2 linked regions of the Styela clava genome follow. The protein of the gene in region 1 interacts with the protein of each later gene in a pairwise test. Links are inferred from orthologs where the notes say so. Each region holds a gene or a part of one and is shown on either strand. Other genes may lie near its edges.

Region 1 (17,788 bases):
ACGCCGATTCAGAGCTTTATCAAACTAAATAGAACATGACAGTATCATTATTTTTCTCGAATTTCATAATGTCATCAAATGAATGATCGATATAAAACAGTTTAACTACTGCACCGTATTTCTTGCCTTGCAACACCTTCTTGAACTCTAAAATATACAGGAAGTGAAGTCGAATTTTTATAGTATGGTTTTATTTAGTTCAAGGGATAAATTTATGACTTGAGCAAACTTTTGGAAACGACTTTTGACCTTTTTAACTTATAAAATGATCATATTGATAGATTCGATCTTCCTGCAGAAAATACAATCTCCCGACAACACTCACAACTTCAATCATAACGAATGAATGATTCAGTCAGACTTGATTGCAATTTTTACTTTACAAAATTACTTTTTTTCAAACATTTTACATGGAAAATTTGATTTCCAGCTAATATTTGTTTATCAAAGTTCTGACGATTCGATTAAATTCCTATTCACAAGAGCCTGATATTTGCCAAAGCAATTGTACAAGATATCATAAAATGACACGATGTCATATAAAGTGCTCTCAATAATTAAAATACGTATCGATATAGTGGCAATTTCACTGGCTGTGTGAAAAATTCGAATCGATTTCTATATAATTTTATTGATAGTTTGCGCATTTGCATTGCTGTTAAAAAGAATTAAAAGATTTAAATTTCCTCTAGTAATAAAATCGTTCATAATCGCAATTTCTAATGCTTTATAATAAAGCCTAGTTGGCAAATTTACTCATCTTTTATAGTATTATGAATAGATGGTTTCTTCTTTATTACGCCGCACCTATAATATTTGCTTGTGGTCTTTGGTTGCCGCAGAGATTCCAAAAATCTTGTCGCAACGCAAACAAACCCCTGATCAAAGTATGAAGACGTATCATATGTTGTAAAGTTTCAACTTTTCATTGTATGAGCAGATTTTCGGCGCTATATTGTTCGAAAAAGTCCGCCTCCATGTAACGTGAGTTTCTGTGAAGACCTTATTCTATCGAATACTTTCACCTCAGACACACACCTATATCGTTAAATGACATTGGTGTGGATAGTGTTTAAATTTGTAGTTTTTTGTATTTCCATTTTCTCAAAGTTTTTTATCGTTTTTGATTGGCTTTGAACTCGAACCTATCAACACACTTTGAGTTAAAAACATGTCTCCAGTTTCTGGGATGCTCTGATTAAATATTTGATCGACGCAAAATCACTCCTCTTCAATTCAATTCTTTCGTAATGATGTCAGCATTATATGCATATAATAACTTCAACTGAATAGAATGGTACTCCCGAAGTATGTGAACCAAGATGGCGGACGCCGAAACGTAGTATGTAAATCAGGTTAGGATTAGGCCATAATTTCAGGTACAAATACTACGGGAGTCACTTGGCTAGTCCCCGAACTCGTAATAGAACTAAAATAAGGAAAATTGGAATGGAATTATGGCCTAACCCACATACTACGTTCCGGTGTCCACCATCTTGATTCACATACTTCGGGAGTACCATAGAATGAATACAATACACATTGCCGCCTATAAATGCCAACACATTTCAATTGCATTTCACTTTTACGCTTCTCAGAATTAAACTAAACTAAACACAAATATTTTTTAATTTTATAGTAAAGGAGTTTAAGATGTATTATTATGCGAATACTCCGGCCCACGCATGGCATATGAATGAATTTGAGCTAATTTTCCACGGGCCATGCCTGGTTATAGGTGATAATAATGAAACAAACAGCAGACCACCAAAGAAGAGCTCAAAGTAGACTCAAGCACCAAATAAAAACAAAAACGAACGTAGAAGATTAACGAAGCGAAATCAAAATGTGAGATTGCACAAGCGAAGTTATTGATCAAGTTATTATTATTTATTTTATATATGGGATCAGCTTCAGGAGAGAAGGATTTGAGGGCGCTCCAGAATTGTATGTACCAATATGAAGGTAACTAAGTTTGTTCGCCTACTTTACATAAAGTTGTGTAAAGGGATTAAAACCTATGGGCAGGTATATTCACTTGGCTAACACAGACAGTCCCCGTCCTCGTAATAGAACTTAAATATTCTCAGTTCAATCGGAAAGCTTGAGGAAAATCGAAATAAAATTATGGCCGAATCCTAACCTGGTACACACACTACGGGAGTACCGATTTGAATGTAAAATAGATTCGCAATATCACTCATTGGTCCTGTTATTGCTCCCACACAGATTTCCTGATTTGTTTTCTTTAATCGTTTTCATTTTGGGTCAGTTTAGATACGTTTGGAGATGGGACAATACTCTTAGCGAACTAATCAAATTTATCCTAACTTTAGTTAACGTAAAAAGAATAAACAAAATTGCTGGTGGGGTAATAACATTCATTCTAATTTATTGTTGTTGTGAATCAGACGTTATTTTTAAAACACTAAATTTTTACTTTCGGAGATAAAACTCGTGTTCGTGCTTTTTATAAACTTTTTCAAATTTCCATTCACCAAATTGCTATAAACACAATATAGACAGGCAAACAAATAAACTCTTAACTGGTTATCAAAGCAAGCAACTTTACTCTTAGGAATAATCCATGGATCGTGTTACAATATCAATGAAAATAATCCAAGACATGCGAGACTGATTTCCTTTTAAGCTGAAAAACGACACGTGGAATCCTTATTCAAATAAGTTTATTCGATAGCAAACAAAATGTAAAATTACTGCTATAATTGCGTAATTCACATTTCATTGCATTGCCATTGGTGAAATGTATATTGGGATTTATAGGGCTTACATCAAGAGTGTCGCATGCATGGCGATGGTGTCGCATGCAAGTCCATGCCTTCGAAAACAAACTAAAATGCTGACTAATCCCATAACCGACATGGACTGGTAACCGGGCAAGAGGCCGTGGTTCGCCATATGAATAATCCGTCTTATCGGCTTTCCTCTCCCCCGGGATAAATATGTAAATCATATCCTATTTTATGGCAATTACAACATATATCAGCTATAACAAGGTTAGTTGTGTTGCCTTTTTTGATATCTGTATTACAGAGATATTGTACCAAGATGTGCAGATCAAGTTAAACGAAATGATTTTGATAAACATGTGAGAACAAATACTAATTCGGAATCCATTCCTTTCGTTTCTCCATGTTCTTTTCAGAAGAAAAGAAAGCTCACCTCTGAGTCAAATTAGGACGACCAATAATGAGTTGCCAAGAGCTAAATAAAACTATATAAATTGATAGTGATGCACAATACATGCCAGCAAATGCCCGAGCGCTAAACACAAGAACATCTTTTATAAACATTGAAATTCTAGTGGTGACGTGTAAACAGCAGTGTCTAATGTTCATCACTGCTCATTTATTCACTTACAACCCAGCATGATTTTGATTCATTTGATCATTGCAGCCTCATCACGTGTATTTAATCTTAAATACTGAAATATTTTCTATTCATGTTCGGCTGATTATCGATTGGTTAAATCGAATCGCATCCCGAATATGATTTGAATCCTGTATAAAGTAACGAACCTTCCTAAAACCAGAAATAATTTACTGCCCATGAATTTAATTGAATTGACAGTAATAACTAAATCGGGCCAATAATTTACAAAATTAAAAAATACAGGGTGTCTGAAACATTTCGCCCGTATTTATAGTAATAAAAATAAAAAATTTGCCCGATTTTCTATTAATAACAATTGTAAGTTTAAATAAATTTAATTGTATGATAAATAAGAACTACAAGCACGTTAAGAACTAGTAATGAACAAAAACAAAAACTTTTCTTTTTTTATTACTATAAAATCGGGCGAATATTTTTGGACACCAAGTATATAAATACTCTATAGCAGTTGTTGTCAAACGGTAACGGTTGACGCGACCCACAAGGGAGGCATAGACAATTTTTTTGAGGGGACGTGAAGATTATCATTTGGAATATTTACGCCCCAAGTTAGTTTTAGAACCACTGCTCTATTAGTCTATACTATACAGTTAATATTATTAGTAAACTCCTTTCTACTTTCTTTACAATTAGACCTCCACGTCGACTTTACAAAGTGTGTTATCATTTCTGAATCAATTTATCATTGTAAACGTCCAGACCAGGCAATACTTCAGAGTAAAATGCTTGGGTTCGTTGATTCGTTGTCAATTACTGGATTACTGGAATCACTAGATAGATGACTCTGTCTAAGTTGTAAAGAAATAAATACAAAAAAAATACATTTTTTAAAATTGCAAAGACAATTTATCGAAACCATATATTGAAGTAAAAATACTTAAACAATTACTGATTAAAAAACAACCACCCTGGTTAAGATATATTGAGAACTGACTTCATAACAAAATTGAAATTGTAAAGGAACTTTATAAACTTTTAGTAAATCAGATTTTCTGGATAAATAGAAGCTAAAGAGAATATTGATGAATCAACGTAATATACGTCTGTACAATACTCAAAGTTAATGAGAACATCGAAATTCAAAGTGAATTCGTATATCCTAAGTGATTCAAGAGTCTTGCTGCGTACTAACATAAATATATTTCTGTAACGTTTCGTCTGACCAAGGTCAGACTTCTTCAGACATACATGAGTCTGACCTTGGTCAGACGAAACTTTACAGAGATATATTTGTGTTAGTGTGCAGCAAAACTCTTGAATCACTTAGGATTGTTATCTTTACCCTTGCTACAGCATCCTTGCATTATATGCATATACGGATCCACCGACACAAAAGCATAAAAGAAGGATAAGTAGTTAGTCTCGCAGAAACCAAATCATACGGGCATTAGTAAGTGTATTTTGTAAGAGAAATCATTCACATAGATCGCTATGGATATAGATGAATTACTATTTTATATAGGCGGATCGAATAATCACAAAACGAAATTCTCGCTTATTTTTTGCACTATATATAGTAGAAGTAGCAAATGTTAGGAATGTCCAACTCATTACTGAGAAGATGAATGGGACTATAACCGCCACCCACACTGTTTGTGCAAAATCCATCACATCCAATATGTCTAGACTTTCGATCATCCGCAAGATTGGTTGATTTTGGAGCCAATTATGAGCTTACTATTATCACTATATAGTATAATTGAATTAAATTAATATTCCCTAACTGGGTATACGCGTCGTAGATGGAAAATGCTGTGATTCGTGACCCCTTGACCCGAGGAACTGAACTCTTCTGCGGACGTGAAACTCTTTTTCGGACAAATTTTAATTAGAAAGTCCTAGATTTCAAAGATACTTTTTAGACTTTGTTTTGGGGTGAGGAAAGCCGATACGATGTATTACTCATAAGAAAGGACCCTGCACGACATCTCACCCGGTTGCCAGATCTGATATAAAAATAGTACATTAATTAATTAACTATCACAAATGCATGAGATTATGAGGGTTGGTTAAACGACAAATTTTGATCATATTCGCTGCTTGCGTGTCCGTAGGTGATTATACTAAGCCTTTTTCAAAGCAAGTACATATGATATTCGGTATTCCTGGAAATTTTCAGCGAATTTTTATTTGGAGTTTTGGAAAGTTTAGAGTTTAAAATTCCCTTATCAACGGCACCCTAATTTTTAATTGCCAATTTCATGGTTTGTCGAAGTTATCACATTCAGGAAATGAGCATTTAAGATACCAAAATTAGAGCGACAAATTCGGACGAAGTTTCACTCATAATGTTTAATTATGAACTTCCGGTTTCTTGTCCTGAATTTTGACCTTAAAAATTTGAACTATTTTCTCTGAAGTTCTTCAGTATAGATAAAAAATGCATTTCTTGATTTCTATAATTACTACAGGATGATTTTGAAATGCAAATGTTTGGAATGCTAAGCCACAAATACTTGAAAATTCGGTACTCCCGTAGATGTGTACCGGGTTATGGTTAGGCTATAATTTTATTCCGATATACCAATTGAATATCCTCCTGCCCGTAGATTTTAGTTCCTTTACACAACTTGATGTAAAATAGGCGAACAAAATTAGTTATCTCCATATTGGTACACACACTTCTGGAGCGCCGAAAAGGCAATACAAGCGTATTGAAGCAATCCACAAATTAAGATAAACCGAGGTGACCGGTAAACAGGGAAGCAATGTGAATGAATATTCATTAAGATTTTAAGTTGAATTCATTTGAAGTTGAAACGTTCCAGATTCTAATTTATTTCGACGGTTAACCCGTATATACTTGCTTCTGGGTAGAAAGTGGAAAAGGCAATCCAAAATAACAAAACGCCATTCAAACACTTATTCAGATTCGTGTCAACACATTGCCGCATTCGCAAGATAAACTTGCAAACCAACAAACGAACACTTGTAAGATTAATTTCACATTGATGTGTTGAAGTTTACCATCAAACGTTTGCACATGGCTACAAATAAACGTAAAGTAGAGTTGAATTTCAAGGTGACTCCACCCTCAAATATTACCACCACTTCATGAGATGCACCTCAATCTCAGCCCATTGTAAAACGACGAAAGTTATAGCCTTCTAGCGAAAAATTTAATCGTTAAGCACTGAAAATTTTAAAGCCATTGGTCCAGTAATCAAAGAGAAAAGCGATTTTTTTCTGTGACAAAGAATAAGCACATAATAACAAAACGATCCATAGGTCGACCACGTGTCCAATAAACGCCACAACATTGCCGCAATCAGCATTCGCAAGATAAATTTGCAAACCAACAAACGAACACTTGTAAGACTAATTTCACATTGGTGTGCTGAAGTTTACTATCAAACGTTTGCATATGGCTACAAATAAACGTAAAGTTAAGTTGAATTTCACGGTAACTCTATCCTCAAATATTTACCGTCACTTCAAGAGATGTTCAAATGCTGCCCATTGTGAAACGGAAAAAATGCAGATATTCTTGGCACAATTACTGAATTGTTTATATAACACTCGACTCTTATCAGCTTGAAATCTTTAGGAATATTTGTTCGTGTTCTTGAGCAAACCTCATAATCTTATCCTCATACAATATCGGAAGTATCAGTGGAAATTTAATTACAAACAAGCGGTCGAGAAAAATACAGAAAGGTTTATTTTTAGGTTTTGATTTATAAATATATTAAACACTATTGCGTATTTTGTGGTAATTTAAAACTGTTTGCAACAAACCCATCCTATGTAAACCATCCTGGAGGATTAGAAATACCTCGTGGTTGCATGGGTAAATACGTGGCAGTATACAAACTTGATATGTATCAGTCTTTTTTGTGCGTTTTACCAGTGAACCATTCGGCATCACAAACGAAGATGAGTATTGTCTTGACCGCCTAATCAACACTAACACCTATCACAAAAAAAACGATGCAACAACATATTGAGAAACAGAAAAAATTTTGAAGATTTTTATCGTGAATACGAACACGGACGTTTTAACATCTCTGAATCAGAACACTCACCTTTAAGTTCAACCCAACGAGTGCAAATGAGAGCAGATTATTTGTCACACTTTTATTCCGTCAAGCGTATTTCTCAGCAAAACCGTATTACGCTCTCATCACAATAACGAGCACCTGAAGTGTTTTTGATCAGTCTCAATTTCGCCCAGACCAACGTCAAGAGCAGAAAAGAAAATATTGACCGAAATATATTTGTCTTATATTTCGGAAAACAAACATTGATTTATGGAACTTCCTAAATTGATTTCTTCGATATTCCAAATTAAGTCGTAACCCTAACCTGGTACACATACTACGTTCCGGTGTCCGCCATCTTGGTTCACATACTGCGGGAGCGCCGTGATGTGTAATTAAAAAAAACTAAATCGAAAGCAGTCAACCTCATGCTCTCATATCTCTAGAATTCAAATAAGTTTTTTATTGCGTGAAAGATGGACAACGGGAGTACCAGAAATGTCCAAGGAGTCACATTTCATCAATCTTGCCGCTTACATTGTGCGTAAAACTATATATTTCATCAGATTCGGATAGGATATTGTAATCAAAAACATATGTTAGTAGAACGTCACAGTCGCAAAATTATCAAGCAAAAAATGTATTAAGGCTTATCTATCAATTAAGCTAATCCCGGAAAGTTATAACTATCTGGGGCTGCAACGGAAGATTCCAGCCATCAGTCATCTGAAATACAATAGATCAACATGCACTCAAAATCGATACGAGCGTTAAAAGGCGGATTTTTTTATTTAGGTATTTTAACTAGTGTCGAATATTCAAAGAAAATATTGATATTGATAGAATTCAACTATGCTGTAACAATATATTCAGTTTGGTTGCTTAGGCCGCAAACGTAAGGTACAAAGTACACAAATCGTTTGTGGAATATTAATAAAATTATAATACTGGGAGGAGTCGTTTTGTGAGAATACTTTTTACGTTGTTTCACGATTTGTAAGCAGGTGAATTCTTCTGGAACCAACCCGACCCGGAACCAAAAACACATGACTGAGTCTTATTCGAAAACTTGATGTATATCTAGATATTTATTAGTATATGCCAAGGCTTTAGATTGCGATAGATTCGTTGATGAAAATTTTCAACTATCAAACCATCCAGCAATTCGCTTAAAATTGACGGTTTGATTCAAATCTCCTTAAATGTTTCATGTTTTATCCCATATTAACGTAACCACATTTTAGAATGCCAAATGCTTTTCATATTTCACAAGCACTGAAATACATAATTTAGACTCCTCAGCGGGTTTATTTTGACATTAAGTTTATTTTGATTTTATACCAGCATAAATTAGATGCGATACAATGCGAAGTATGATTTAATATTACTCTAGAAAAATTGTCTATGAAATGATTACAAGTAAATCATCGGACATTGTTTTGAGGTTCAATGGGGCTTAAAAAATCAAATTGAATGAATTTGCGCTGGCTCAATATATAATATAGCCTCTGTAGATTATTTAAGATAATATTTCAAATTCATATCCCGTGCCAAATATTTCGTCATTTACATCCAAATCAATCAACTATTTGTATATATACGATAGCCTAGAATCTAGGTACTGTGAAATGATAATATTATACGCGTTTTGTTAAAAGCATTTTACAAAGAATCTTGTGGGTGTTTGTTATTCTAACCAAATACACCAATAGACGAAATGTACATTAGGGTAGGCCGCTTAAAATTTACTTAGCCTATATTAAACTTCGCCAAATTGTGAAATTTAACCTATCCTGTGCGTGCCACACCTTGCTCGTTCAAATTTACGCTCATTGTGTTTCTTTGTGTTTTATCCCACTCTTTTCGTTTCTTCACACACTTTTCTCTCACTTTCTTATTTCTCTCTTTTTCATTTGGACGACCGTCACTCTTTTCCGTTTCCTTTCGGCACAAGTTAGTTCTCCAAGTAATTAAAGAAATAGGCCATCTCCGAGTCTTTGTTTATTTATTATTTTTCCAACCGAGCCGCAGGCAAGTGACGAAAAAAAGAGACGGCGGCGGACGATCCGCTCGCTCGATACCGAATCCCGTAGGTTGCTAGCAAGAATGGAAAATTTCAGTGCTTTTTTATTTATTTTAGATAGGCGTAAGTGTTAAACTCTGTCGCTTAGATATGTGTTCAGTCGTAGCCACCAAAATTCCAGAATTTTAGACCAAAATTTAACAATTTTTAGGCGAAAATGTGTACGGTTTTACGAGGAATATCCTAATAATTATATAATATCTTTTTTAGCGATAGTTTTAGTCGGCGCCAATAGCACCAACTCGCCGTTCCAAGGAGCTCTAGATCCGGCGAACGTGCGCGCTGTGCTTCGATGCTCAATAGAGGAAAGCTCGAAGCAAATTACAGCCAATAACTTCCTGAATAGGCCAGTTATATAAAGCTAATGAATTAGAGAAATTTCACAAAGTTTAAGAAGCAAGAAATCTTCGGAAATTGGCCCGGAACGGCCTAACCGGAAGCCAACATGCGGAAATCAATGTAAGTACCATTATGAGATGAATTTTAAACGTTTCATCAATTTTCGATCTTTTTCTTGAAGCTAGTTTTATTTGTACATCCAGTAATGTTCGAGTTGATTCAATGATATAATTTGTAAAGTAATTCTATGTAGAGTTCTGGTCGAATTTAAGCCACGCAAATGCCTGAAAGCGCAAACTTCTGAGCCAATTTTTAAAAATGTTAATTTCTGTTCAAGTAAAATGGAGTCAAATTTCTTTAATTTTACCGTGCTATGAAATAGCTGAAACAATTCATAATCTAGTGAACGAACGACATATTTCACAACACGAATATAACGTATATATGTTCATATATTTTGAACAGTTTTGACGGTACTCCCGCAGTGAGTACCAGGCTACGCCATAATTTTATTCCGATTTTAGTTCTATTACGAGTTCGGGGACTGTTTGTGTTAGCCAAGTGAATATACCCCCTGCTCATAGGTTTCCGTCCCTTTATACGATTTGATGTAAAGTAGACGAACAAAATTTGTTACCTCCATATTGGTACACACACTTCTGAAGCGTCGTTTTTAGAATATTTTGGTTAGTTTGTAATGTATTTACTTGTTTCATTTTGAAACGAAGTTAATTTGGATACGTGTTTTGAAGTGTCAATTGCAACATGTCATTCAAATTTAAGCAGTAAGCAAGATCGGTGTACATTAGTACAGCACCCCAATACATGTTCAATATTTGGCATTTGAATACCTTATTAGTCTTTGTGTAAGAACATATATGGAGGAAAATTTATTTTGACAAAATGTGAAAACATGTGGTTGCTAGGTTTGAAAAGATACAGTATGTAGCAGCCTAGAAATTTTTTCTCCACAATTAAGGCTCTACATAGGTAGCCAATTTTATGCGAGAATGAATCGGTATTCTAATTGCTATTATGGAACATTCTAATGCAAAGAATAGCTATAACAATGAAAATAAGAAGGATGAGATTCAGAATATGTAAAGTAATACAAACTGAAAAACTTCAATGTAACAGAAGCCAAGTTTTCATTGGAGATTCAATATATTGATGCTAGTTAAAAATTACATTTCTGTACTGTTTTGCGAGAGAAAACCATGATGTGATCATCAGGCTTCGTAATTTGATGTGATTTCCATTTGAGCATTAATTCTTTATGACGTAATAAAGCTCACAAGTCGCAATAGTCAAGTGTCGAGTTGACAAATGCATGATGTTAAATACATGCAGTTGGAATAGGGGTGCAAGCAGTATACAAATTGAATAAAATATTGGGATATCCACAAATTATATATAGAAAGAGATTTTGTGGGCGCAAACAAACGTTCGCTGAATAGAAATTGGGGGGCTCCAGAAGTATGCGAGCCAAGATGGCCGACATCGGAATGTAATATGTGTACTAGGTTAGGGTTAGGCCATAATTTTAGCTATAAATACTACGGGAAGCTCTTGGCTAGTCTTCGAACTGATAATAAGACTAAAAGTAAGGAAAATTGGAAAAAAATTATCGCCTAACCCTAACCTATGTTACGTTCCGATGTCCGCCATCTTGGTTCGCTTACTTCGGGAGCACCGAAATTGGCATAATCACAATATTGTGCATGTCCAACAAATCCAAATGTATCAGAAGCTTTCAGAAGTTGCTTGGTACTGTATAGTTACTAAGTTTATTTCGAAATCTTTAGTGCCAAAGCATAAACTTGAATGATTACCTAATTCAAAACATCACGTGAATAAAACGATAACAAAATTGTAATTCTTATCATAATTAACTCAAATTATTTAAGCCAGAGCTGTGTCATATTTAAGACAAAATCCATGGTTTACACTTATTTATAAACAGACATATTCGCTGTTGAACGATACTATACGTTTTTGTGGGTTTTTCAAAGCTTAATATAAATTTATATAAGTTTTATCAAAAATTTGGGGTGAATTAAAAAACGGTAAATCCGATGAATACCTTTGATTAGTTCAATATATACATGCGATTTAGCAAAACGGGTACTCCCGCGATATGTATACCATGCAGGTTAGGGTTACGCCATAATTTTATTCCGATTTTCCTTATTTTAGTCCTATTACGAATTCGGGGATTGTCTGTGTTAGCAGTGAATATCCCCCCTGCTCATAGGTTTCAGTCCATTTGCACAATTTGATGTAATATAGGCGAACAAAATTAGTTACCTCCATAGTGGTACACACACTTTTGGAGCGCGGCAAAACATATACATATATGTCAGTACTGGTTTATTGAATACTTTGCCAACTATTTTGCAGAAGAAAGCGTTGGTTTTCTAATTTTTTCTGAGTCAGTCCATTACTATACTACAATACTACAAAATAATACATGTTTAATTATCAAATGTAATATGTAACCAGAATATTGGATTAGTAATATTACAATCATGTCTAAAATTGAAATGCTACAATTGAATATGTAGATTTATTATTCATTTTTTTGTGACTAATGTGAATAATTAGTTGAATGAAAGAAGTATTATAGGGTTTGAGATGAGAAGTAGTTTTTTCTAATGAAGTTATCGACATATGAAAAATAAATGGTAATACGTGTACCAAGTTAGGGTTATGCTTTGATTTAGTTCGATCACGAGTTCGGAGACTGTCTGTGTTAGCCAAGTGAATATACACCCTGCCATAGGTTTCAGTCCCTTTACACAACTTGATGTGAAGTAGGCGAACAAAATTAGTTACCTTCATATTGGTACACACACTTCTGGAGCGCCAAATAAATAAATCAAATTGGATCGGTTTTACGAATATAACTCACATAGGAAACCTACGATAAATTTTGAGTTTTCACTACATTTATTGTCCTAAATTATCAATTCTTTTTTTACGATAGACCTCTTTGTGATCATTTTTATGAATATGAATTATAATTTTATAACGTTATTAAATACAATCAACCGTACAGAGAATCGTGCAATGATTTTGGCGTTTTTATCCATTCATTAGCTCGTGTTCACGTTCCAATTCGAGAATGTATACATGAATTTACTATCGCGGGAAACAGTGTGCACCTTTTCGATTCAGTGCTGCATTGGGTCTATCTAAAAACGTTCTCTTTGTAAGTGTTCAAAAACGATAACTGGGAGTAAAAATGTACTGAATGTTACCGACTTCAAATTCAGTGGTAAAATTCCGGGCGCTCCAGAAGTGTGTGTACCAATATGGAGGTCACTAATTTTGTTCATCTACTTCACATCAAGTCGTGTAAATGGACTGAAACCTATGGGCAGGAGGTATATTCACTTGGCTAAAACTGACAGTCCTCGAACTCGTGATAGAACTAAAACAATAAGGTAAATCGGAATAAAATTATGGCCTAAACATAACCTGGTACACAACTACGGGAATACCAAATTGCACGTATCATGCAAATAGCATATAACATTGCATATGAATTGCGTAAATTGTGATCGAATGGGCTACATCTAAAAATAGATCAAAAACCAAAATTTGTGTTAGTTCACGCTATTCAATACATCATTGGCGTTTAAATGATGAATCAATTTTTGAATTTGCTTTTGGTGAAAGACGTCGACCATAGTTTACGGCTCCCGTTTATCCTTTGTTACACAATAATTATTTTTCCGCTATCTGGGTAACGCTTCATTGCACATCGCTAGTTAGAAGTGTAGATGGATATACGTTTCAAACTGCGTCTTATTAGTGCATATTATGTGTGCTCAGAAGTTTGAATAGAGTTTTGAATCTTACAAATGAGCTTATCAAATATCAATTTTTAGATATAATGAAAATTGTCTGCAATTTTCGAATCTATATTCGGTGAGTTTATAACAAACCGGTATTGTCGCATTGGAAATGTATGCAATTTAAAATCATTTTAAACGCCTGACAAGAACGACTCGTTTCAAATCATTGAGAACTCTCACGAACGATGACATTTCCAAATTTCGTACAAACAAATTTAACCATTGACCCGTAGTTGAAGTAGTAAGTTAAGGTGAAGCCTATTTCCATGTTGTTATTTGACATTAAATAAGATGAAGGGACTTCAAAAGAGGAAACAGTAATTGAGGAAATTGGTCCGGGTCAAAGGGTGATTGATAAGATGGACGTGACTTTGGAAAATTGACCAGTTTTCGATAAATGAATATAAAAGGCATCCCCCGAAATTAAGCCCTAGTGTTATTTTTCGAAAGAATATTGAAATAAGACCCTGTTCTATTTTCGGGGAAACACGGTATATGATTCCATAATATTCAATGAATTACTTTATTCCGTTTGACTTGGCAGAGTATAATAATAACCAGTATTTTCCTTAATCATAGAATGTTTATAAACATGGTTTCAGCGTCGTATATGTTTACATTACTGAGGTTTTCCTTGTAGCTTTCCAACAAGCGTGCGGGAGGTTTCACACTTATCATAGAAATATTCACAAATGTGGTCAATTTCGAACTGTGAAATATTTCCAAACCATTGCCGATGCGTTTACGTTGCATAATTTCGCGACATTATCTCAGGCATTTTTTCAAATATTTAAATCCTTGAAAGCTACATTAGATTGGATGACGCGATTCATTATCACCTCCCACTGTGACAATGGCCGAATGTCATTTTTAGTGCAGTGAGCACAGAAGTAATATAACTAATGGGATTAAAATTTGGCAAATGCATAAATGAGTCGTAGTGTAAAAACTTGCCGTCTACACTGAAGCCCAATAGTCATATGCGGAAGAGACTATCGAAATGAAGACTGGGGTCCATAGAACTTCATATGTTCATCCTTTTTTTTACTGTTACCAAAAATTTGTATTACCAATACCTTTTATGACGTCATAAATGAGATTGTCCACAGTCGATTTTGTCGTACTGTGACTATTGGTAGAGTTACTTATTACTTGAGTCAGTTATGTTAAGCAAACAGTCTACTTTTTCTGATACATTCCCCGTCTTAGATTCTTGAACGCTCTTCGATCGTACACTTAGCGTCGCATATTCGTGTAACCGGCGTAGCTTGCTTGGAGTATAAACATTTTACCGGCATATCAGTCAAATAAATTGTGCGTAGAAAGCGGGAAGAATCGATTAAAGTTGCTTATAAGGGAAGCCTATTTGATGGAGCAGAGCCGATGTTTTATTAGTTGCAAAGGCTAAGCTCCTCGATCAAACTATTAAGGGGCTTAAATTTAAGTTATCCATCACGCCGTTTGGTTGCCGCAGTCTGACTTGTTATTGTGTCATCATATAGCCGAAACAGGGATCATATATATTGCGTCATAACAGAATAGTCCATACGACGAACAATTTGCTCACCGTGTGCTTTATTCAATTACAATTTTGTTCTCCTCTGCTGCAATCTTACTGCGCCTGTGTGGCCAACAGTCGTTTGTTTTGGACATGCTACTATTTTAAACTGACACAATTATACAACGTTGCAATATAAATTGGCCTATTTATTCATCGATTCTGTTGGCCAGTATATTTATCGTTTCAAAATTCCGTCGCTTCCAACTATTTGCATACACAACTGCTAAAGAAGTGAAGCCACCCCTAAATATTACATCCATCACTGGTCCAGAAAGGGGATTCAGGCAATGACAGTTGTAGGACAGATACATTGGTTCGGTTGCAACAAGGTTTAATCCTCTAAAATCTAAATCATTGCAAAATAGAATTGGCATATTCCCAATGTGTAATATACATACTTGTACATTTTTTGACGGTTAACAAAATCAAAGACAGTGCAATTACATACTATTCAATTTCCTTTTTAAAGCCTATTTTATTGACTTTTATTGGTTCAGGATATCCCGTTACTGACTGCTTTAAAAATAGGAATATTTTTCAGATCATTCGGTAAATTATTTTGCATAGTCAAACTCGTTTAAAAATTACTAAAGCATTCAAAACATTCATTGTTTTATTTCAGATTATTCATCGTAATTATCGGAATCATTTGCATACAAGAAGCCACTGCGGTGAGTGAACTACGTTTTCTCTTTCTTCAAACTAGGGCGTGATCGCCTGGCAACTTAGTCTTAATGAATGCTTTCCCGACCCTTGACCCCAGAAAACACTACCACAGTACTTCAGAAAAATTTGATGCCTATTGATTTGGCAATTTTACGCTTGGAGATGCTGCACATGTTTATAATTATAATCGTTTGATCTTTTTGATTCAAAATATCTAGCCACATCTCGTTAACAATACCGATAGCTAATTTTTAGATTAGTCTTCCGCAGTTTTTTCGGGTCTAATTATTGTTTACTGAAATAGTGTATAAACAGCAGCAAAAAGTTTGATTGTTATTGATCGGTCTTTGTTAACGTAAAAAAAGGTAATCGATGCTCTGGGAAACATTAACTGGACGAGCCTAACTTCCCAGCAAGATTGCTTGATTAAATGAAAAAACATATTTTTCTTTAAAATATTGCCAACTTTCAAACCAGTCTATGCAGTCTTGCTGCACACTATCACAAATGTATTTCTGTGACGTTTCGTCTGACTGACATAGACTTCCCCAGACAAGCAGTTTACAACAATGACAAGAAAAGAACCTCCTGTCAATTTTATTACCATAAATCGCGGGTGTCGCCAAATCCCAACCAATTCGCTCTATTCACACACGGCCTTGCAAGTTCAGAGCTGGCTAAACATCAATCTGCTAACTATTCGGTATCTATCATTAGATAGACGACTATAATAATGACTCGAGTTGATTTCATGTCCCCTATTTTTATTTGAACTGTAATCAAAGTAGTGTTAGAAGATAATTATTTGTTTTGGCTGGATCTCCAAAACCTAAAGACAAAGCAAAGATAGACGATGCCAACCGCACTACACGACTTTGCTTTTGAATCACACTTTCTGGATCGCGATCTGTAACTCCCATTAGTACCAAACAGTACAGATCAACTGTGATCTTCGAATGCCCATTAACCCATAATAGTGCCATAGAACAAGACATGATGAAAGATTTATCACTGTGAACGAATTTTTTTTTAAAAGAAATTTGAGAGAAATAGTGATGAGGCAATTAATAATTGCAGAATGAAAATAAAAAATGGAACTGTTTCCTCAAAAATAATAACAAAATATGATCAGATATAACATCCATGATAATGTAACGGTGACCGTACATTTGAACCCATGTGTATATCCGCGGGTTCAATCTATATGCGGGTGCTAAAACCCATGGGTTAGGGTTGGTATGGGTTCAAATATCCGTAAAACAAAAATTTCCATAGGTGCAATAGTATGCAGGTGCAATTGTCGTGGGTTCAAATGTACGTGGGTTCAAATGTAATGGAACCTAATGTAACATGATATGAGCAAGCACTCATGGGTGAAATGACAAAACGTAATAGGGAGAGACCATGTATAGAGGGTTTATTGCAGAGGTGGACAAGGTTTTTGGACCAGAGGCCAAAAATTTTGCCCACTGTGACTGGCGGTCCATATAAGTGTGACTTAAAAAGTTACATTTTATGAACAATATTTACAGTGTTGCAAAAATGAAGAACAATAGGCCTCCTACCAAAACAAAATTTAATCACGATCTCGACAAATTTCATGAGCTATTCTAAAAACATCAGAATTTGGTTTTAGTTTGGTGGTGGCTGCATCAGGCGAGCCAGATTGGATTGCCGTAATTTGTCCATGTCAGGTTTATAGTTACCCCATCATCAGTATACTTTTTAGGATATTTTTTGATGGATTCTCCATCGAAATTTGAGGTGGCAAAGACCATATTTTTATAAATGTTTGAAGAAGTTATATAAGTTGAAAATTCCCTTTGCAACTTTTTAACTATATTTGAAAAAAAGTACTGTATCAAAAATTATACAAGAAGCTACA
Region 2 (16,920 bases), on another chromosome or scaffold:
TTCAGATCTGAATTAGAGGGTGCAACACATCGGGTAGGCGATGCCAAACTGGAAGGATATTTTCAAACTATGGTAGTTCCTTGTCTAGGAGTGGACGCACGTTCGGAGCCTTGTTCAGAGCGAAAGTGGCACAAATAGGTCGTATATAATGAAAAAGCTTTGTTCCTTGTTTTATTAGAAATTTAACAACTAATGAACCAATTAATTTCAAGTTTTCACTTCTTAATGATAGTTGTGGCGGCTGTTATTTTTTTAATTATATTCATTTTTTCAGCCCTACGGTATGGGATATTTTACCCAAAATTTCGCTGTTTAATTTAAATTCAGAGGAACCATTTTTATGACAAATGTGAATATTTTTCTTTGTCCTCTAACAGCAATTTTCAGTCCGGGATACATGGCCCCAAAAGCGGGCCACAGAGCAGTTAGAGGAGCCACAATATCAGGCGCAAAAATAACACTATAAATACCACTGAAATGATAAACAGAGGGGCAAAAGCTTCCAGAAGCGGACCACGACATAAAAAGTTGGAGCCACTGTCTTTTAACATTCGTGTTCATCTATTATAGCATTTTCGGAGCTCCAGAAGTATGTGCACTAAGATGGCGGACACTGTAACGTAGTATGTGTACCGGGTTAGGGTTAGGCCATAGTTTTATTTCAATTATCCTTATTTTAGTTCTCTCACTAGTTTGGAGACCAGCCAAGTGACACCCGTAGTATTTTACCTGAAATCATGGCGCAATCCTAACATGGTACACATACTACGTTCCGGTGTCCGCCATCTTGGTGCACATACTTCTGGAGTACCACATTTTCTCCTGTTTTATTATAAATTCGATCGCTGGGTGATTTCTCTTGAGTGCTTTCCATCGCCACTGATAACTAGCTGTCAATCAAAGTTGTGGCGATACTTGACTTCACACGGTTTAATCGTATTGAAGTATAATTGTTTACGTAGAATGAAAGACAAGAGAAAATCAAAGGCGGGAACATTTCCGCGGAAATTGATGATACGTTTTATGACATAATAATGACAGAGACAATTCCTTTGTTCGTGTGGCGGGAAAAGATTATAGACCACAAAACTACTTGGCACACTTTGGAAAATGACGTTTAATAATCGTAATGCACTGGGCTTAACCTAAAATTTTGGGTTGAAAAGTTTTAAATTATTCATTTTTTTAATAAAAATTAGGGATAAAATGAGTCACGTAATTTTCCTATGATTTAACTGATATTTAGTACCGAATATTAATTCTTATGTTTAAATATCTAATAATGTTATAACTTTTATTGTTATTTATAAAATAAAATGTTTTATAATGTTCATACTCTGAAAGACGAATACTCAGTTTTACGTAGGATTATTACTTATCGATTTTAATCGGTAAGTATGTTGATAGGTATTTGTCTGTCTGTCTGTTAGATGCACGCGATATCTCACGAAAGCGAGATTGAATCTGCTCCAGATTTTGCATGTGCATTCATCATATGTCGGTCCAGAAGCCTATTGATTTTGGATGAATTATGTCGTATAATTAGCGAGTTATTAATTAATTAGTAATTAGACACAAAGTGTCACTATGGAGTAAGAGCGCTGTTTTGGGGGATCCCCTAACTTTCAATCGATAAGTCTTCGGTCTCTGACCGATATTCTCGTTTTATTATTTGATTGCCACGGAGTATTGGACACTAATATTTTGGAAAATAGTCTTGAGTATGCGCTGTTGCATACAGCAGTGTGCAACTCGGAGTCAAGTGGAATGTTTCAAATGTCACAGTGAAATCTGTACTTGTTATCTGTTCTTTTTTAACTAGCACGTTTATCCAGCAGAAATAATATTATAGTGGAAGTTAAAAAATTATTCAAGTATGTGTCAATAACGCTAGGCAGTTGTAATAATTATTATTTGCTCAATTCAATTCGTAACAAACGGTAATTGCCCAGTAATGAGGCTTAGCATGAATTTTCAATATGATTTGATAGAAGCCCTCCACTTAAAATAAGACCTAGCAGTTGATAACGCAAATATGTTTTTAAACCTAGTCGATAGCAAGAAATGTTTTATTTATAAGTAAATGGATATCGATTTTCAGATTTTGTATATTTGAAAACCTCGTAATTCTCTACTTTGTAATTTTGTTTTTGCTGAAAATAAAAGACATCCCTCAAAAATAAGCCTTAGTGTTATTTTAAACAAAATAAAAAAAGTTGATATAAGACCCTGTCATATTTTCGGGAAAACACGGTAGCTATGTAACATAACGCGTTGTTGATATCAGCCCATAATCCCCTGTAACTCTTCCGTACCCTGCAAGACACCAAGTGTGAAAAGCCAGCAAAACAACAACATGAACTAACACCTGAGTTCCGAAATAAAATACCAAACAAATATCGAACGACAAAACATCCGGGAATTAAGATTGATGGCTGAACTAGATGCTTTTGGACAGGACAAATGCGAAATGTTATAACAAAAAATATACGCAGAACACAACCGCTGATGCTCTAAAATTTAGGGGTGTGCAGCCTTTAATACAGGCGGGCTAGATACAAAAAAATGGGCAAATCCGCGGGCCTCATCTCTTTTTAACATAGGCTTTCTAGTAGTTGCTGGCACAAAAGTTTTAAGCCATCTGTTAAGGCATTGAAACGTCATAGGCGTCAGGTATATCTTTTGCAACGCAGAGAGTTGAAATTACTCGCGCGCACCAGATTAAATTAAATCAAAAACTCGTTTTGCCGATCGCACAATTTTTCTATATGAGCCGCATTTGGCCCGCGGGCCGCAGGTTGCACACCTCTGCTCTAAATCCTAAGATATACAATACGTACGAGTTTTTATTTCAAGCAATCACTGACACGTTAAAGCTGTACACTTTTCTGTAAGATTTGCTCAAAATAGATTTTCTAGTACTTGACTAAATATAAAATTGTGCTATAAATAGAAGTGTTATGAATAGCATAACTGGTGCGCTTGGAGCTACACAGCTTTTGCCAAAGCATGGCCGCGAATACTCGGCTATACGTGAAAGGCTATTCTTAGAACAGTCGCAATCAATCAGGATTAGATGCTTTTTATTCGTCGGTGAATGCTTGTTCGTACTGAACGTCACGAAAAATGAATTACAAAAAAAATAACAGTGAAAGACCTGTACATATATAGGTGACATATGACCTAGCCTGGAAGATTCCCATATTCCCTGGTAATTAGCTTCCCAAATTTACGTACGCATCAGTTATAATTATAATAACTGACATAATTCCATTAGTATTTCTTATATATCTATGTATGCTTCTATAGATCTTTCGTCAGTCGATCTAATCCAGCGGTTCTCAAACCTTGGAGCCAGGGCCACACACGGCCCGTGTAAAGATTACGGCCCGCGTAACGATTAAATACGGACCGCCAAACTTGGTGCCAAACGAATGTCCTTCCGCTTCTAATTTTGGACCCTGGTCAATCAACTTTGAAGCCACTGATCTATTCTATACATACCTCTACGCCGATCACCCCATCCTGTTAAATCCTGTCAGGTCACACGCAAATTGGATGCTGAGTTGTGTCCTGCCTACTAATTGGCATCGGTACAGGTGGCATTATCTGGCCTCGTGCCAGAAAGCCAACATCTGAACTTGTGATATCAAATTTTAAAGATAAGACTGTGTTTTGAGGAAAACTATTGACATTTTGAAAGAGATAAACGAAACGGTAATTGGCCACGCGCCAGATAGACGACTTTTTGAACTTTGAGGTATCGGGTTGTGGAGAAAAAAACAAAGTACAAAGAAATTGGGTCTCAGAGCCTTGTTACGCCATCTTGGCACTGTACCACAAAAATGGGTGGCGTGCGGTTCACGATTATTCGTTTCCGAGTAGGAATAAATCACGTTCGAAATGAAAGATTATAAAAAATTATACCGAACAGTTTTCTTCGAATGAGAAACAACACTACATCACTAAGAGCGTAACAAATAGGGTATACAATGTCCAGTCGGAAAGCTTTGTTACATTTTATGAACAATATTTACAGTGTTACAAAATTAAAAGTGGAAAAAAATAAGCCTCGTGCCAAAACTAAATTAAATCGAAATCTCAACCAATTTCTTGCGCTATTCTTGAAAAAAGAACATCAAAATTTGGTTTTAAATTGGTTGTGGCAAAATCAGGCTAGATTAAATTACCCAGCCGTTGTTTGCCCATGTTGAATCTAGAGCGAATGATCGGGCAGTTTTATTGTCTTTCCTCTTCTTTGGAATAAATATGGAAACCTTATTCTCCATAAAGTCACCTAAATATCGTTTTATATAATGCGAGAGTCTTGTTACTGCATCCTTGCATTTGGAGATCCACTAGTGTAAAAGCATAGTATAAGAGTAAATAATAGTATGCGGGCGAAACGTTATAGAAATAGATTGCTTCATAGTTCAGCAACTGCTAAACTACTTGGAAGCGCGTGATTTACAAAGTTCCAATTAGTCTCACTTAACTCTAATTTATAGTTAAATATCATTTGCTACAAAAATTGGCAATGTTTAAGTCAAAGGGACAGAAAAATACGATCTGACTATCAATAACATTAAATCTGTAATCTATCTTATCGCGTTACGATGCGCGCAGTCGCACACGAAAATCTTTTGTCAGGCTCACTACAGACTCGTGCGCAATCACCAATCATCCCAGCGTGTTGCTAGTACGTTCACATCGTCGTCAGAGTTTGTCTGGTACTCCTCCGCTCACAAGTTCCAGACAGCCAAATAATTTACGGAACAAAAATGTAGATTTGTTGACCAGCCGCTGGGATGTTGTTCAACAGTACGTATTGAAAGAATAATTTTCTTATGTGTACTGTATAATATCTCTAGCAAATAGCGTTCTAGACAGAAAAATGTCCGCTTAACTTTCGTACGAACTATCTTATCCGCTTTATATTTCCCGCTGTGATATTTATTGCTTTTTTTTACCTAATTATGTTTGCACTTTGTAAGTGTATTTGTATTTATAATCACGTGCAATATCATTACTGTTCATTAAGGATATATATATTGTAGTTTGACGCACATTCAATGTTATCTATTTAAGCAGGAAAGAGTACTTAAAAGTTTGATTTGAGATGAGTATTTTGAAGTACGGTAGTTGAATTGTAAATATCAGAAGTTAATTTGTGTCAGTGTGCAGCAGGACTTGTTTAGAATAGTCATCTTCTTTCTTGTTATATATGTATATTGAATTGACGAATTGTCATTTGACGAAACTTTTGTTCAGTTATTTTCGTCAGGGATACATACATGGTGTCCAAAAATTTCGTCCGATTTTATAGTAAGAACAATTCTAGGTATAAATAAATTTCATTGTATGATAAATGAGAACTACAAGCACAATAAGAACTATTAATATACAAAGCCAGAGAATTTTTAGATGCTAAAATCGGGCGAATTGCTATACACGTATATATCACCTTAGCGTATAGTTGAGAGATATCTGAAGAACGTCTGTTCAGTAACTTATACTAAGAATATATATATATATATTAAAGCTTTGTGCATGTGTTATCTGTTTAAGTAGGAAAGAGTGATCGCCTGAAGACGATAATACAAATGTAAGATAGTTGGATTACGTTTGTCTTGGTATTTCTGGCCATTCAAAACGCTCATGTGTCTTTAGAATTGTTACATTACGCGCATGCGGATCCATTATCTAAGATTTTAATAGGTCATTAGGTAGGGCGCTAATCCAATATAACTTTAAATGAACATCTTAGAGAAAAAGCAAATAATATTTGGATCTTTTCAGTGTTGGGCCTATAACAAGAAGATGCATTGTCAACTGTGACATCACTTCTATTTAACTATGTTACTTACTTCGTAATTCTGTTGTGCAAGCATTTTGATACGATGTATCAAACGGTGCCAATCTTTTGTGAATTGATTTTGATAACGCAATATTATTTCCGATTGGTCTTTGAAGATTACGAACCAATACAGAAACATCGTGGTAAATGGTTTGCTTGTTAATTTGGGATTCGCGATGATCAGGTTCGCCTGATTAGATCAAGCAATAAGTTTATTAGTATGAAAATAGTGTTGATAAGATATGATAATTTATTGATAAGCATACATTTAATAATTTGGGGACTGGGAATCTATCTCTGATGATTAAAATGCATATTGAAAAAAAAAAATGAATAGACAACTATCAAATAGATAACGGGTAAGCGATAATATACTATTGCGTGGCGTTCCGAACTAGACTTTAATCCAGTGGAATTAACGAAATTGAAAAAAAGAGACCAAAATCACGCGCAGTGAAAGTGCAGTACCTACCCCTTCTAATAAAGGGAGGTCCAAAAATAGGTTTACAATTATCAATACTTTTAATTTGGCAACATCCCGCGGTAGTGACTTTCTTGTCACAAGGTTAATCAGGACAGAGATGGAATTTTCATATTTATCGCGCGCGAGAGAAAAAAAACTGATTAGGCCAATATTATTAATTGGATTATATCATCATTATGTCAGATTTCACGTCATCCCGGTTTCCCAATTTTTATACTTTTAACACACTTTCTTCATATTTTGAGTATGTTACACTCTTATCAATGCGAAAAAACATTCATGAATAGTCGATAGAAGACAGTTTGATTAAACAATCGAAAATGTGCTTAATCGCAGCATCTAGCGGTTGAAAATATTGGCACTGAAACTGCGCGATTTATCAGTTATGTTTCAGAATCGAAGCATAATTGTCTTTATCTGTCATATTTCTTCTTCGTTTTTTCAGACATTAAGAAGTAGATTTCTTAATTATCTGGAAGGACCTAAAAGTTAGAATAAATCTAATTCTAGAAGATTAACATTTTTAAAGTAATTTTATTACTATTATTGTATCTTTCACGTTATTAAGTTCTCTAACCAAATCAAAAACTCTAGTAATGACAAATAAACGCATTAGAAACCCCTGCCAAATTCACTGTAATATGCTTTTGAAATAATTTTAGATTCCATTGTCGAATAAAAGTTAATCTAACTTGAACTTTTGGACTATAGAAAAGCGGGTTTGTTTTTTAGGGCACAGCACACAAATGTCAATCATACACAAAATACCGATCATGAACTAAAGAAACCATAATTTGACTGCTCAAATTTTTGGACTAAAAGTACGCGCGAAACAATTTTTGTTTAGAGCAAAGATGTACATATTGTTCCCTGTGCTATTATGTTGGTATTTTTCTTCCTGTTATTATGAAAAAATCGCTTTTCACAATAACTAATTGCTTTGAAAGTTTCAGTGGCGAAAGCTTGCATTTTTCGCTAGACGGCTATTACTTATAGTTATTTAAAAACTGTTAGTGGGCTTTATGTGATTCGTGTTTCACTTCGAAATTTTTCTTACAAAAACTTATCGAAACACTCAAAGACAAACTACCAATTTAAAAGAAAAGCCCATCTTCTACAATTCTTGTTCGGGGCATTGCTAGCAAATTATTCCGAATGGTCGATCTGTAAGACACCTTGAATAATAGAGAGAGATATTTGTGTGCTGCCTTTTTTCTCGTCGTATCTCGCAACTCGACAATCGGCATTGCTCCATACGGCGTTAATTTAGTTAGTCACACACTTAGCTACCGTATGTATTCCTTTCTCAATTTTTCAAATGAGCATTCAATTTGGTGTTCGCGGCCTTGGGAATATCAGAACTATAAATTGAGAAGACTCAGGAATACTTCGCCACAACATCGGCGATGGAACAGAAGAATAGACAGTTGAGTTAGAATATAGAAAAGGCTTTTGAATATCTTTCAGTAATGAAAATCATGCAGGGATATAACTATACCATAATGTGATATACCTACATCAAAGCTTATAAACTATGGAATACAATCATTAGGAGATACTGTCTGACAGTGGACATGGATTAGATACTTTAATTTTTTTCCAATAAATCTTCCATTATACAGTTCGTTTTTTGCCGCGTGGATAAAATTTGGTACTTTGAGATACACAGTTGAAGTTATACTTTGCTATTTTTATCGTTGAAATTCTTGTTAAGAGTAGTTTTCTTGTTAAACTCACAGAGAAAGGAGTATAAACGAACGAAATGATTTTAAGTGGAAGTTGAATAGATTGTACTATAGTTTTATACAGTGGTACTTTGTCTTCAACGGCAAAAAGTTTTTTTTTGAATGACTGGTAGTCGCCTAAAGGCATATTTTTTAAATTCCATTTCTTATCAAAACACTGTCCAACCTTACGTGAGAGTTTTCACCAGTTGTGCGGTGAAGGTTTTCTGATCGCTGTGTTGTTGTTTTGCTTCGCGGTTAAGAAAGTGTGGTATGATTATCTCGGTATATATTTTGAGCGTGAGGATTATATATAATATTTTTTTGATTTGAATGTTTTCAATATAAAATAACTGACTGTTCTAAACGCCATTTTGGTCGGAAATCCAATTAATATATTTTTACTTTTTTTGTAAATGTATTTTATATAATTTGTAAGAATTAGCGTTTTCGTTACACATCATTTTATATTTTTCAGATTTCTAATTATAAATGTAAAGCGAAAATATATATCTGCATATTATACTGTCCTTTCGGATCTATCAAAGTTTGAGATATTCCGAGATCTGTAAGATATTTTGGGAATACTTTACCACAAATAGAACAATGCATTTCCAAATACACCTTATTGGACTTTTTATTATAATCTCAACAACATCGGGGATGCTCCCGGAGGCTGGCCGGGCGAACTTAATCGAACAGGCGGAAGCAGACACACCCGAAGCCGAGGAAGCGATCGTCAACGAATTCGAAAAGAAACTACTAGATATGTTTGGACTTACTCGTCGCCCGACTCCCTCAGGGGACATGCCCGTTCCGCGGATTATGCAACACCTCTATAAAGCCCACATGGGGGATGATTCCGACGGCCCCCACAGCTTGGTACCCACTTGGGAACCCGGGTTCGATCTCCCCCATGACGAGATTGCGAGCCGAGTGAACACAGCAAGAAGCTTTCACCATTTAGGTAAGATTTTGAATTTTTATTCTATAGTAAAATAGTTTTATGAATTAGTGTTATATTTCATTTAATTAAATAGTTTAATTACTATCTGAATAATGCGAAGTTCAGTTAGAAAATCCGCGCTTCACGTTATTTTTAAAAACGATGTTTTTCGATCGTCGAATTTTAGAAATTTTATTTTAAGACAGATTCAGATAGTCCATGTGCCTTGAACATTAAACTGCTTCTATTTTTATACCCGACTTGGAATTGAAAGCCGACAAAAGACTGTAGTTCGACGCATTTAGTCGTCTTAACGATTCCACTCTTTCCCGGGATTACTATATTCTCATATTTATTCGTTTTTGTGACTCAAATAAGCGTAAGTGCGTTTTAGAAAATAATTGTCTTAGCCCGATTTTATAATTCATTCCACTTTTTCCAATTAATATGAACCCTTTAACCATTTACCAGTCTTACCATTCGAAGAAGTATCTTGGCGATTTAGAATTATCTGATTTAGCAGTTTTGATATATTTCATCTCGATTTTCCTAATTCGCGCTTTTTGGCCAAAATTGGGTTATTATCGGAAGTATGAAATATATATTCGTGAAATGCCGGTATTTATCAATAAAAATTTCCGCCCATAAAGCGTTTTACTGCACTATAAACCGTTTCCTTAGATATAATTTGCAAAGAGAGGATTAAATACAGTTTGTTTGCTAAAACGTTAGAGCTTTTATCGTTAGTTTGCGACAACATTTCTGTCGAGTACGTGTTCCTAACTGGCGGCAGTTAGGCGCTTGATTTCCCGCCGAAATATAAAAAATTTTCCCATTTCAAATTCCTGTCGCGGTCACGTTCCAACTCTTAAAAATGTGATACATTAATGAATACATATCAAATCTTGAGCTAAAATATCGTTTCGAAGGAGTCTGAAACTTCGGTGATCATTATTGTAAATGTTAAATCTATAAACCGCGTTATCATCACCAGCGCATAAATATTTACCATCTAAAAGTGACCAGACATTACGGCGCTTGTCCTTCGTAAAACAATAGTGAGATACCATGGTTCGTCCAACCCTTTACATACAAGAAAGTCGAACTATTCGATTTTAAATCGGTAGCAATGTTGGTGATTTGTGTAACAGGGGTTAATATAAATGTTTTAAGGTCGGTAGATAAAGTTTAATCATTTTGTCGGTTTCTGTAAAAGCCGGAAAGATAAAAAAACCTCTGGACAACTGTTCACGAAAATATCGACTTAGAAGTCTTTCCCGGAGTTAAATGAGTCCATTACTGCTAATTTTGCCTGGATAAATTGGTTTACGCGAAGTAGCTGTCTGCAAGTCGGCCGTTTCAGATGGTCCATTCATACGACGTTTTGGTCGATATATCCCTAACGTGCTGTCTACATGGGAGCATAACTACCCTCTTCGAGGGAGCTATTCGAATGTAGATTGGTACCATATATTCACTCTGTCCATACGTATTGTTAAATCGAGTAAAATATGGTTAAAGATTGTGGGCTCTATGTAATTCGTTTTTCACTTCAAAATTTTGTGTGGTGACCTCTTCAGAATTAATTAAAATTATATGTAGCGGTTTCTTTGACCTCTCTCGGCCTACTCCCGCGCTGCACAGAAGTAGGAAATGTTTTGACCGTATCCCACAGTAGACTAGGTTAGGTGCTGTATAAGAGAAAGCTCTCTTGTTGCGAATAAGCTTGGCAACAGCCACTCGCTAACACCGTACATATGTCGAGCATATGGTGCGCTTTTTCATACAATAACCATTATTGTAGCAGACACTATTCTACGGGGGAGAAGTAGATTAATTGAAAAATACAAAAATAAAATGTAGTTTTTGTACAAAACCTGATGCCATAGTGATATCATATAACGCTTTATACTGTATGGAGACGCCGCGGCATACGCCTATCACGCATATTTCGGATATGCCCGTAACCGTTAAGAATATAATAATAAATAATGGTGGGGTATACAATGTATAAGTTGTAAATCAAAATTTATATATAATGAACGTTTTGAAGCTTTATATACCAAATTATTATTTGATTTCCGCCCCATAAGGATGTTAATGTCTTGATTTAAATACACTATAAATTAGGAGAAATAAAATGGAGAATATCAAACGAGCTGTATTAGAAATAACTAGGTTTGTTTCTTTATTATATCTCTAGTCCGAGCTCGAAAAAGGTAAAATTATGAGAACGATCGGTTTCATTGATTGATCATTGTGTCGTGTGTTACATTTATGACAAAACAATGCGATTTCGACACACTTATCAACGTGTTATCTTCTAATTGTTGTGTTATGATCAAACAATTAAAAATTATAACAACCGGCTTTGTTTTATGATGTAATTATTGTTCATTAAATTACCAATTTAATTCCCTGTTGCACTCTTAATTTTTCAGTTTTTGTTCTATAAATTAGCAACAATAACATTATTAAAAAACATGTTTTTGCGCCAAAATAAAATTTCAGTCTTAAAAGCTGGGTAAGGATATTTTGCCTGACTGAAATTGAATAATAATAGTCCACATTTTTAAATAGTCATATATTAGTATTGTTTTCGCTTCGAAACGTGTTGTTATATGCGACAAAATCAGTGTATGCTAGTTAGCTGGATTATGTAAATGGCAGTATGTTTTTATTTTTCAAGAGAATTTGTTCAATGTAGAGTAACGAGCACTCACTCAGAAGCAATGGCGTATACAGGGTATGACAGCCATGGCCCATGGCCGCCGTTTGGATATGGACGCAAAAGGGCGAAATTTTTTAATCGTGAAATGCCTAAAAAAATATTTTTAAATTGGAAACTTCAATACTAACGTGTAAGACATCAATTCGGCAACAGTCGTAAAAAATGTCAGTCAACGATCAAGGGGGCGCAACTTTGCCACGCTCGTAATATTACGTAGATACGCAACTGCTCAGAAACAAATGCAACTTAGCTATGACCAAAGTTACTGCCGACGACTGAAACTATACATAACATGTTGTCACATATCACGCCATAATAGATCTTGCGTTCTTGGATGCTTCTTACTTTTGAGATTGCGGCGCTCTCGACAGTAATACAAACAACAGTTCAAGTAGCCGAGACTGCAGACTAATGTTGCTCTCGTGTTTGCAAGATAAGAAAGACAGTGTCTCATTTATAATTTTTTTTATATTTCATAACAGTCCAGGATAACCTCACTCGGTTTTCAAACAGTTAAGTGAGAATAGTAAAACACGTAGAAATAATAGCAATCGATGTAATTAATATTGTTGGCCTGCGCACTTTAAGACTGGCGATTCGAAACTGAATTTGTTAGCAAACTTTATTTGATCGTCTAAGTATCAAGTTGGGCGGACTCGAATGAAACGTGTTTAGGAACTCGATTAGTCGGTTGTATTTATTTAAATTTAAAACCAAAGTTACATCACATGCGTATGGCTGCATTTAATTGAATTATAACCAAAGTGACGTCACATTGAGTATTGTTTCATTTATTTAAAATTAAAACCAAAGTGACGTCACATTGCGTATTTGCATTACGTCATCATGCCGTATTAAGCCACGAACAAGGTAAACAATTTCCCGCTTAAATACACTTGTAGAAAAGAACACATATAACATATCTGTCGCATACCAAGAATAAAGATAAATTTGACATTTTATTACAAATTATCCGAGCTATATTTGAATTGAATGTAATATCGACGCCCTGAACTCAAGTAATTACACAATTAAAAGCAAATTGGTTCATTTTAAACTTGTTAACATAATCATATATCAGGAATATCACCTTTACATATGAATAATCCTTTAATTGGGTGAAAATGTAATATTTTTCTCTTCAAAACCTATTTTTAAATATGATTTATAAGAAATAAATTTTAAAATCGTTTTTAGAAAATCTCCCTTGTAATAAGTATCGCCCTGATTGTTACCTCAGGCGTGTTTACCGTTCATGGCAACAGATTGGTGATTTATGCGTAATTAAGGCCGAAATATCGTCGCAATTTGAATGTTTTCCCACGCACCGCTTGCCAAGATTTGCCCCTAATTAATTTAATTAACTGGGCATTGGTTGGTCATCCCTGCTGAGTTAGAATAAGGGAATTGCGTCATTGTGAATAAAAGAAGAGATGGTGTTATCTAAAATATCATTTTACATTGTCTGTTTTATTGGTATTACGTAGTAATTTTATCATATTTTTTTGTTAAATCCCCCTTTTGCATCTTTTTGGACTCTTTATACCTCCGATGCATAAAAACACTTTATTTGTTCAATCTTTAAATGGAGTTTTAAGTGGAGCTAGTGTGATGTGCAAGTAAAGTTCAAGTAGGTAATTAAAGGGTAGCCTAACCCTAACCTGGTACACATACTACGTTCCGGTATCCCCCCTCCACAAAAAAAATAATAAAAAGGCGAACTCCCTTCCTGTGGAGGAAGTAAACCCCTATGTAATATATACTTCACTGCTGTGCTTGCTCGAGTCACTGACTCGACTTGAGTTGAACGCGAGTCACTATTTATCAGTACCTTAAAGTGACTTGAAATTTGTAAAAAGTCCTCAACCCCTTGTTCGAAGAGAAGGGCTTGAAAAATTGTCGAAAGCGATTGACTGTACTGAGTATGCAAGGTCAAATTCACATTCATTCTAAATTTGAGTTCATTACATTGTAGAAAAAAACTTCTAACCGGCTCTAATTGCTACTTAGTGTAACTATCAAATTTCACAGATAATTTCGCCCTCAAACAAAGCCAAGGACACAGGAAATCCAATGTAATATAAAAATGAGAGGGATCATGATCTAGTTAATACCTTATGTTTTATACATGTAGGTAATAATTAGTCTTGACAATAGCCAGGTTCGAATAACTTGAACATGGTAATTGTTCTTTACAAAAAAAGGCAGACCACCCTTGAATGGTTTTCCCAGGCAATAAAATGTGGCAACGCATTTCCGTGTTTCACCAAAATTTTTATTTGGATGTATAATTATTCGCAATTTTAGGGATTTTAATTTAAATGACATTTTAACTAGGTGCGAATTATTTAAGGTTTTGAATATTGGCACATACCCAAAGCTATGACATCATTCTCATTCATAATACAGTAGATCCAATCGGTTGAATGTTAGAGTAGAAATAATTTATTCTTGTCTTACTTTGTTACCTTACAATATAGGAATCTTTGCGTATTCAGGGGGTATGTTGAGTGTGGACCCCCTTTTTTGAAATGTGAAAAAAGCATTTTTATGTATAATACTTATGTATAAGACTCTTGAAAACCCACGTTTTCCGACCGGACTCGCTGGCGGATACGATGTAACTTGGCAATTAGAAATGACCTCTGAAAATTCATGGCCACGACCATGTTTGCAGTCCGGGGAAAGAAAAGTCGATGAGGCAGCTCAGTTATATGGCGAACCCATGAACTATCGATCGTTCACGTCTGGTATGAATATAGTTACCCAGTTATTTGTTTCAAATGCATTAGATGTTTTCACGAAACTTGTCGTTTCTCCGACACACGCCCCAATTTTTGGCAGTCAGGAGGCCTTACGTAAAGAAGAGGTTAAGGGCAAAAGTTTTTTACCCTACAAAAATTGTAATTAGGTCATTTTTTAATTATAGCAATTACACAAAATATCTTTTTTTGGAAGCAATTGATCTAAAAATACCTAAAAGTTACTATTTAAGGACCCTGTGAAAACCGCCATTAATAAGTTCCATGGGAAAATTAACAAATTTAAATTTTCGGATATTCTGTATAATGTTACAATATCCGAAGCCGATTTAAACGATTTGGGAAACTGACACTACCGGGATCAAAGCAGAGGTTATGACCTCTGTAGACATTTGAATTTATATTTCACACAGACTATGTTTTCCGTCCAATTTTAGGAAATTTCAGTAAATTGAAAAGCATTTGTCGCCCCTTGGAGAGTTCTAAAGTGAGATTGTAACATTTATATCCAATTTAGGAAAAATCAGTAAATTGAAATGCATTTGTCGCCCTTTGAAGAGCCTTAAAGTTAAATCGTAACATTATAGGTGCAATGGCTATGTTTTCCGTCCAATTTAAGAAAATTTCGGTAAATTGAAATGCCATTGTCGCCCCTTGGAGAGTCCTAAAGTTATCTCAAATCGTTGTGTTATCAATTGCTTGTGGTTGGAGAATTAGTTTAACTATGTCGCTGGTTGAATATCTCGGGTTCCACCTCACCCAAGGTGTGATAAAATGTGTGTTTTAATTCGGAAAGATCATGATCATTTGAAGAACAGTATCTTCCTGTGTGATGGTGGCTTCTTATACAGGTCCTTATTCGGAGATATAGATTAAAAACATTCCCGCCTTATTCAGAGATACAGCGAAAAGATAGAAGCGCCTATTAAAAAATCCGAAATTTAAGAGTTTTGATAAGTTTATATTCAAATATTTGTAAATCTGATATTAGTATTATGTTTTTCTCAAAATTTATCTTTATGAAAAAAAGTCCTGATTACCTTTCCATGATCTAGAATGAAAACAATTTGATTGCATATTTAAGAGAACAAATTACTTCCTTATACTCCTAATCAATAGTTTTGGGATTTCTCAACTACTGTTACTTAATGGTAGCCACTTAAACCGCGACCTTAACATTTGTAGACGAATAACATGGACTGATATAAAACAAACAAACAAATACGTTATCTACCAGGAAGACAATACCTTCGGCATCCCTCGCCCCACTTTTACCAATTTTCATTTATTTATTTTCCGGATTAGACCCCACGATAATCGTTTGTAAGATGAGAAGTATTAATCCGAATAGTAAATTAACATACGAGTCCTTCCCATTTTTGGAATTGTAGAAGATAGTAATATTTGCTTTTAGCTCAGTCCGAGTGGTAAAAAAGAAAAGTAAGTAGTACTTCGGGACTTGATTCTAAATGAAACCAGAGTTGATACCCAAGCGAGTCATTACAGTGTTTCATCGGAATTTTCGGTTTTTGTATTTATATGGTGATAAAAATATTTTTGGGGAGCCTGTTTCAAATGATTAGAAAGTAAATGCTTCATTTCAAAATCTGTATAACCTACCAGCGCTCTCAAAACGGAAGCCATCCAATTGGCAATTTTGGACCTTATATTCATCCCAATCTTAAGCTTAAGTTGGTCGATCGTATTTCAGAACAACCGTCCATTTCTCATTATTTGGTCAAAAATGCCAGGGTTGCACTCACCGTGCACCGCGTAAATTTATGAATAAGAACGATACGTACTATTATTTTCAACAAAAGCAATGCTCCACATCATATACAAGCAGCAAAACGACTTGAAAATCGCTAAGTTGTTGAACCGCGACCCTAAGCTTCGAAACGCGCCTTGAAATTTTGGCATCTGTATATATTTTTGCTACTTTTCAAAGTTCACAAAACACAAGGAACCAAATCATTGGAGATCCAACGCTTATGACCAAATTATTCGGTGAACCTAAGCGCTACTGGTATTTCATGGCTTGAGAACGCCTTTTCAAATCTTGGCTTTATATGGATGTTTGTTGTCGGTTGGTTGCAAGAAAAAACTTGGTGAACCATTATTTTCTTTTTAAATTTTACCCTGAGAACTTGGGTAAAATTTTTATCTAAAGTATATTAGCCAAGAACGCATCACGAATCCGACTTTATGTGATTACTTTGTGACCATTTTCTGTAGTCTTATAAATTTCCTAACCGCGAAATGCCATGAATGCTATTTACCCACGATATGTAAATATGCTTTAAAATCTGTTGGCGACGATATAAGTTTTTGTTAAAAGTATCTCTCCCATTTCAAGCTACAGTCACAAGACTAGTTGTGTAGCCAAATTATTTTGTTTAACTAAAATCTAACCTAC

Evidence for each region.
Region 2: the proteins of uncharacterized protein LOC120328573 (region 1) and bone morphogenetic protein 2-like interact in binary tests that used the Drosophila melanogaster proteins (3 or more experiments, as listed by UniProt). The link is inferred for Styela clava from reciprocal best matches to the Drosophila melanogaster genes Col4a1 and dpp.

The regions. Positions count from the first base shown.
Region 1 is NC_135256.1:6,034,389-6,052,176, reverse strand, and holds the start of uncharacterized protein LOC120328573, read left to right. Parts: upstream 1-9,688; 5' UTR 9,689-9,922; coding exon 9,923-9,936; intron 9,937-15,859; coding exon 15,860-15,908; intron 15,909-17,788. UniProt on the Drosophila melanogaster protein: Collagen type IV is specific for basement membranes.
Region 2 is NC_135253.1:23,767,018-23,783,937, forward strand, and holds the start of bone morphogenetic protein 2-like, read left to right. Parts: upstream 1-8,537; 5' UTR 8,538-8,671; coding exon 8,672-9,032; intron 9,033-16,920. UniProt on the Drosophila melanogaster protein: Required during oogenesis for eggshell patterning and dorsal/ventral patterning of the embryo.